Linked DNA regions of Lonchura striata. The protein of the gene in region 2 interacts with the protein of the main gene of each other region in a pairwise test. Links are inferred from orthologs where the notes say so. Each region holds a gene or a part of one and is shown on either strand. Other genes may lie near its edges.

Region 1 (3,744 bases), on a different chromosome or scaffold from region 2:
GCATCTGGGACATCCCAGCTGTGCAGGAGCAGCCAGCATCCTCCTGCTTCCCCACAGGCACAGAGTGGGAAGCAATGCTGAGCAGCAGCCAGGTCTACTCCCACAGATTAGGATCCTGACATGGGGTCAGTGGAAAACTGCTGCTCGGGCTCCTCATTCTCCTGCTGTGCCTTCTTCCCTCCCTCTCACCTCCAAGTGTCACTAACATTTCTTGCCCAGCAAGGCAGTGGCTGAGCCATTGAAGCGCTGCCAGCTCCCCTTCCCACAGCTACTACTGGAAAAAACCACCTGCTGAGGTACAGGGAGCTCTCTGGGCATCACTGCATTGGGTGGGAGCAGGGATGAGCTGCCCTGACAGGATCTGGGATCACTGCCAGGTCCCCTTCACAGCGACCTTTGCCTCCACGCTGGCTGCCCCCAGTGCCACCCTGGTAGTCTTCCAGGGGAGGGAACTGCTGGGAGCCAAAAAGTCGCCTAGATGAGGAGGGAGCTCCTCACCCGGTATTGCACCTGAACACTGCTCGGGATCTGCAGCTGCTCAGCACAGCACAGCCAACCAGCCACGGTGGCTTTAGGGAGTACAGAGCTCCCACTGCTGTCGGTCCAGCTGGGAAGCATGGGATCCTCAGCAGGACAGGTCCTCCCTCCAATCTGGCTAAAATCCAGCTCCCTGTGTCATGGCTGGGTCACTCAACAACTACTGTCCCTCCCCTCGGTGGCACAGACAAAACTTCTCCCTAAAAATCTACCCAAAGGCACAGGGCACAGCACTCGAGCAGCACTGGATGCAGACCCTCGGAAAAAACTGTGTCCCACCAGCGTCGAGCTGGGTTTTACCAGAACCAGCCTGCAAACACACTGGTTCCTGGTGTGAGATCTGCACAGCGGGCAGGGCTACCCGCTCCTGCCGCGGTCACAGCCTGGCTTGTCCCTGGTGACACTGGCCACCCTGAGCATCTGAGACAACGCCATGACCCTCGGTGAGGACGCGCCATTGGCGATGGCAGGCGGGAAGCGGTCGGGGAGCCCGCCAGCGGCCGTGAGCGCCTCCCAGCCGCATCCCCGAGGAGAGCAGCTGCAGGGGGGCGGCGGGGACCGGGGAACGAGCCCCGGAGGCGGCGGCGGCGGCGGCGGCATTGTCCTTCCCCCCTTCCCCCGCGCCGCTCCGGTCACAACACGGCGTTACGCAAGCCCGCGCTCCGGAGCTCCCGACGTGCCAGCGCGCCGGGGGACGCGCCCGAGGGCCGTCCCAGGCCGGGGGTCCGGCTGCGGGGAGCACCCGGGCAGAGTGAGCGACCCACGGCAGCCCCCGGCACGGACGGGCCCGCAGCCGGCGCGGGGCGGCGGGGCAGAGCAGCCGCCGACCCGAGCGCCCGGATGTTGGCGAGCCCGACCCGGCCCCGGACCCGCACCTCGGGGCTCCGAGGCGCCGGGCCGGGAGCCGCACGCTGCGGCGAGGCGGCGGAGCTGGGCGAGCTGAGCTTCGCCGCCCCCGCCCCGCTCCCCCCCAGCCCCGTGGAAAACAAAACGAGGAAGAGGCAGAAAGTCTTTGTTGGGGCCTTACCGGGGCCGCGCGGCCGTCGTCGGCGCGCTGGGGTTAATCCGCCATGAGCGCTGGCAGGCCAGGAAGGGCCGGGGAGCCAGCGGCCACGCACAAAAGAAAAGTTGTTGAGCTTCTCTCGGCGGGGCTGGCAGGCGGCGGTTCCCCTTCCTGGCCCTGCGCCACCCCACGTCACCGCGCCGGGCCGCGCTCGTTAAAGGCGCACGGCACCGAAACCTCCGGCGCCGCGCCGTGCGGAGGGGGAGCGCCCGACCCCGGCCGCGCTCGCTGCCGCCACCCTGCCCCGGCCAGCGGCGGAGAGCTGTGCCGCTGCGGCCGGCTCTGACCCGCTCCCGGCCCCAGCGCGGCTCGGGAAAGAGAATAGCCCCCGATGCTGCGTCTCCCTCTAACCTGGCCGGACTCACATCCCAGCTGACCCCTGGAAAACTCCCCCCGACACGCACACACCCCCGCGGGCGCGGATTCGACGGGAACCGGACCCCACGGGCCACCAGCTAGACGAGGGAGGAGTCGGGCGAGGAAGGGACGCTGCTGTTCCGGAGACTCTCGGAAGTCATCGCCGCAGTGCCTGGGCTGCCTGCGGAGGCTCAGGGCCGCGGGATGGGGCTGCCCCGAGCACGGCCCAGGAAGGGCACAAGGAGAAGGCTCTTTGGAACCGGCGCTGGGGGCAGCAGAGGAACTTGCGAGGAACGCGGTCGCCGAATGCCTTTAGGGACGGGGACGCCGCCGAGCTTGGCCCGAGACGGAGGCTGTGCCACAGACGTGCCCCGCTCGCCCGAGGGTTCCGCGCTTTGCCCGCCTCTGGCACAGCCTCGCTCTGCGGCCCTGAATTCACCCCCGCCGAGCAACCACCGGGGCCCGCCCGGCGATTGACCTCAGCTTTCCCCGTACCGTGACCGTGGCTGCGAATTTGGTCCGTCTCCGGCGTCGCCGGGGCTCCAGCAGTACGGACGATGCTCTGGAGGCTCCAGCAGTACTGACGATGCCCTGGAGGCTCCAGCAGTACTGACGATGCCCTGGGGGCTCCAGCAGTACTGACGATGCCCTGGGGGCTCCAGCAATATTGGCGGTGCTCTGGAAGCTGCCGGGGCCCGTGCCGCGGCCGCTCTTATTCGAACGGCAGCGCCCGCCCCCGCTGCTGCCCATTGGGCACCGGCGGGCGGGGGGCGGCACACGGCGGGCGGACCGCGGGGTCCCGCACTCGCGCTGGGCTGCGGGGGACAGCGCTCTGCCGGCCACCGGGACCCTCGCGGGCTACTTGGGGGACACATGCAACATGCAACAGTCCAAGCGACGGAAGCCCTGGTGTCGGGAGTGGGTTACAGGGCTGCTTGGGGACACTCGTGAAGGTAACAGTAAGACAGGTGGGACCACGGGGGTGTGGGGGATGTGGGTCTGAAGCCCGCAGTGAGAGGTGAGGACACATGAGGGGAGGTTGTGTGACACGTAGAGGGGGTTGTGCGGGGCCACACGGAGTACTGGAAGGCCACAGTGTGTCAGGGGACACGTGGGGGGACTCTGGCGGTGTGTCACACACAGACACCCCACTCTGCCCTGCAGTGCCAGCTAGGCAGGGGTCCTCATCAGCCCCCAAACCTGTCCTGACCTGCTACCGGGGCCTCGTCTCACTTGGGGGGTCCTGTGCTTGTCCCCGTGGCCACAGCCCTATTTCACCCTGTAGAGGCCCACAGAGGTTCAGTCACGAACTGGATTGTGGTGGCGAATGTCCCCACCACTGCTCAGGCCCCACCAAGACCTGAGAAATGCTTGTTAGGCTTTGGCCTTCACAAAGAGCACCCAGACTAAGCCCCTCTTGAGCTTATTGGATATAATCTGTTCCAAGGAAGTAACAGATGTTTATCGAGCATCTGGTTTTTAATGAACAGACTTGGAAACTTATTTTTCTTGCCTGAGTAACAACCAATGTGGAACAGTATTTTTGTTGTTGAACCTTCAACCAAATTAAATTGTGGCCAAGATGGAAAACTACTATGACTAAAGCCCACTTTCTTGCAACCTTCTAGACAGCAATCCAAAGTGAGACCCTTTGAGTTCTCAATTATAAAGGGCTAATAATGCATACTGAAGCCCACTCTCTAATGACCCCATAAACCACAGTCCAAAATAAATCTCACTGAAAATTCTATTCCCAGAACATAGGAGAGCTAATGTGTATGTCTCAA
Region 2 (3,744 bases):
TCCAGGGGTGGTGGCTCCACCCTGGGCAGCCACTCCAGTGTTCCAGATGGGGTTCTATACCTGCACCCCTTCAAGTGCTGGGATAGTGGGATTGCTCATCACTAACACACACTAATTACTGATCATAATCAGTGGTGGCAGCTCTGCTCCCAGGGAACAAGGGACACAACCAGGTGACAGGGCCTTGAGGCGTGCCAGGGGAGGTTCAGGTTGGACATCAGGAGGAATTCCTTCCTGGAAAGGGTGGTCAGGGATTGGAACTGCCCAGGGAGGTTTGGCATCCCCATCCCTGGAGGTGTCCAAGGAAGGCCTGGGCATGGCACCGGGTGCTCTGTGTTGGTGACAAGGTGGGGACGGGTCAGGGGCTGGACTCCATCATCCGGGGGTCCCTTCCCTCAGGACCGATGATCCCGGGGGTTTCTCCCCTCAGGGATCCAGGGGGGTCTCTCCCCTCAGGACGATGATCCCCGGGGTCTCTCCCCTCAGGACCGACGATCCCGGGGGTCCCTTCCCTCAGGACCGATGATCCAGGGGGGGTTTCTCCCCTCAGGACCGACGATCCCGGGGTCTCTCCCCTCAGGACGATGATCCCGGGGTCTCTCCCCTCAGGACCGACGATCCCGGGGGTCCCTTCCCTCAGGACCGACGATCCCCGGGGTTTCTCCCCCGTCAGGACCGATGATCCCCGGGGTTTCTCCCCTCAGGACCGACGATCCCGGGGTCTGCCCCCTCAGGCTCCCGCTCTCGCGAGAACGTACCTCGAACTCTCGCGAGAAGCAGCGGCCGCCCCTCGCAGCCCCCCGCGCGCTGCCGCCGCGGCCGTCGCCTGTCACGTCACGGAGCGGTGACGTCACGGGGTCAGAGGGGAAAGGTGCGGGAGGCGGAAGCGGCGCCGCTCCCGGTCCCGGTCCCGTCCCGGTGGCCCCGCGGAGCCCATGAGCGTGTCCCTGGTCGTGATCCGGCTGGAGCTGGCCGGGACCTCCCCGCTGCCCGCGGGCTTCGCCTACAGCGCGGCCGGTGGGTTCCCCCCGCCGGGGCCACGGGCGGGGCGCGGGGCAGCGCGGCCGGGCCCGCCCCGCACCGCGCAGCTGCCGGCGGGGCCGCGGCTCCGCGCCCCGTCCCAACGCCTGCTTTGTCCCCGCAGCTCCGGACATGGCAGCGGAGAGCAGCGGCGCGGCCCCCGCCGCCGTGCCCGCCTGCCTGCAGGGGAAGGGCCCCGGGGAGCGGGCGGCCATCCTGCACCAGCACCTGGGCCGCAGGGAGATGACCGACGTGATCATCGAGACCATCCAGCCGCGGGCAGGTACCGGCCGCGGGCACCGGGCGCGGTTCGGGCTCGCCGGTGGCGGCCCCGTGGTGGAGGAGAGTGTCCCGGTGCTGTCACCGGGCAGGCAGGGCGGGGAGCGCGGGTGATGTGGGGTTTGCGGGGCCGGAGCGGGCCCCGCAGTTTGGGAAACAAGCTGGGAAGTTCAGGGATGTGCGGGGGGCACAGCCCGGGCACTCCCGTGGGCACAGCCCGGGCACTCCCGTGGGCACAGCCCGGGCACTCCCGTGGGCACAGCCCGGGCATTCCCGTGGGCACAGCCCGGGCATTCCCGTGGGCACTGCCCGGGCACTCCCGTGGGCACTGCCCGCTGAGCTCATCCCGATCCGCAGCTCCTCCCGAGGGGCAGCCCCGAGCTCTGGGACAGGACCCAGGGAACGGCTGGGGCTGTGTCAGGGGATTGAGGTTGGAGATCAGGGAAAGGTTTTGGGCACTGCCCAGGGAATTGGGCACGGCCCTGAGGCTGCCAGAGCTCTGGGAGAGTTCGGCCAAAGCTCCAGGCTGGGATTGTTGGGGTGTCTGTGCAGGGCCAGGGGCTGCACTGGGTGATCCCGGTGCTCCCTTCCCCTCACTAAAGGGGAAATTTTGCCCTTGTGGAAGATGAAGCACAAGCTGCCATGGAGGGAAGAAAATCCTCGGAGGCTGCATCAGCTGAGGACAAAACTAAACAGGAGGATCAAAGCAAGGAGTGTGAGGCTGCTCCAGACTCGCCTTCCAAGCAGCTCCCAGACCAGATTTCCTTCTTCAGCGGGAACCCCTCGGTCGAAATCGTTCATGGAATTATGCACCTGTACAAAACAAAGTAAGAATTCCTGATTCATGCCAGCTCAGGTGGGAATGGGAGGGTGAGTTGGCCACCCTGGGGCTGTGGCTCCTGAGTTTGGACAAACAGGAAGGGTGACTCCTTCCTGGGAATGCAGAGAGTGGCTGGTGTTAATGGTGGGGCTTGGGGCTGTGGGTGACACCCGTGACAGCTGTGGGTGACACTGGGGGTGTTGAAGGTGAGAGTGTAAGACAAACACAGATAAAAAAAAAAAAAAAAAAAGACATTTGAAAGCAGCTTTCCAAGGGATCCCACAGCTACATAGTGATCTCTGGGGCCTTAGTCTGGGAGCTGTGTGAGGCAGGAGGTCTCATGCTGTATTCCAGGGATTCCAATTCCACACCACTCCCCTATAATTGTGTGAGATCTCCCATTTCAGGTCTTCCTGAAAGAAAGGAGACCAGAAGCCACCAAATGGACATTGGCAATAGTAACAAACATTGCTCAGTTGTTCTAGGAATAGTGCTGAGCATCTGGGGCTTGCCAACTTCAGCTGTTTTTGTAAAAAACAGGTGTCAAACTATTCCTGGCAAATCCCACTGTTCTTGGAGCTGCCCAGGCTCATCCTTGGCTAAAGGATGTCTGTTTGTGGTCACTCACTACATCCCCTTCTTCCTCCTCACCGATGACAAAAGAGGGTTGAAGTTTGACAGCAGAGTTGCTGTGACTGTGTGCCCAGCTGTGCATCCAGCTGTGTGTCCAGCTGTGCCCTGCCCCAGGAGGTGAGGCACAGCTGTGTCCCTGCTGTGTCCCCAGCAAGATGACGTCCCTGAAGGAGGACGTGCGACGCAGTGCCATGCTCTGCATCCTCACTGTCCCCGCCACCATGACCAGCCACGACCTCATGAAGTTTGTGGCCTCCTTCTACGAAGTGATTGAGCACATGAAGATCATCAGAGACTCCACCCCAAACCAGTACATGGTGCTCATCAAGTTCAGCTCCCAGGTAAGGTGCTTCCAGCATTGCTTGGCTGCAGGAATGTCACACCAAGTCACTGATCTGGAGGCTTGGGTGGCTTCACTGGGCAGCCCTGAGCCAGGCTTGCACTCACCCATGGAGAAACAGCCCTGTCCTCCTTCCCAGAGTGTTCCTGGGACTGCTGAGATAGTCCCACACCTGGAAGCAGTGGATGCCCTGTTCTGGCTGTCCTGTTCTTTTGGCAGGATATTTATTAAAAATCAGTCCACTTCCAGAGTTCTCTGCTATCTATCAGCTTGTTCAGAGTCTTGTGCTGTGCTGAACAGAAAACACACAGCCAGGGGAGCTCCCTTTGTTTTAAGAAAGGCTTTTCCTGCTTTTCTGAGGAGCTGGATGGTCTCACAGCCACTACCAGTGTGGAAAGAACAGAACCCCCCCAATCTGAGAGCCTGGGGGTGAATTGGTACCCAGATAACAGTTTGCTCTTCAGCCCCTTGACTGGACTTTAAATTCCCCCTCAGGTTCCTGTCCTTTCACTTGGACATTCTCTTCTCCCAGCTGCACATGATTTATTTTGGGGTTCAGGGGGAGGTTTCCCCCAGCTGTGAATTCTGCCTGAGAGATTTCCCCAAGCCCTTTGTGCAGATGGAGGATTTGTGTGAGTTTTGTGCTAATTGC

What was found. The genes of interacting proteins can lie anywhere in the genome.
Region 1: the proteins of BRAP (region 2) and NUMA1 interact in a two-hybrid assay, tested with the Homo sapiens proteins (2 studies listed by BioGRID and IntAct). The link is inferred for Lonchura striata from reciprocal best matches to the Homo sapiens genes BRAP and NUMA1.

Annotation. Positions count from the first base shown.
Region 1 is NC_134604.1:4,289,115-4,292,858, forward strand, and holds the start of NUMA1 (nuclear mitotic apparatus protein 1), read right to left. Parts: upstream 2,646-3,744; 5' UTR 2,453-2,645; intron 1,737-2,452; exon of another isoform or gene 1,565-1,736; intron 1-1,564. UniProt on the Homo sapiens protein: Microtubule (MT)-binding protein that plays a role in the formation and maintenance of the spindle poles and the alignement and the segregation of chromosomes during mitotic cell division.
Region 2 is NC_134620.1:11,775,990-11,779,733, forward strand, and holds the start of BRAP (BRCA1-associated protein), read left to right. Parts: upstream 1-870; 5' UTR 871-935; coding exon 936-1,017; intron 1,018-1,144; coding exon 1,145-1,303; intron 1,304-1,924; coding exon 1,925-2,126; intron 2,127-2,903; coding exon 2,904-3,093; intron 3,094-3,744. UniProt on the Homo sapiens protein: Negatively regulates MAP kinase activation by limiting the formation of Raf/MEK complexes probably by inactivation of the KSR1 scaffold protein.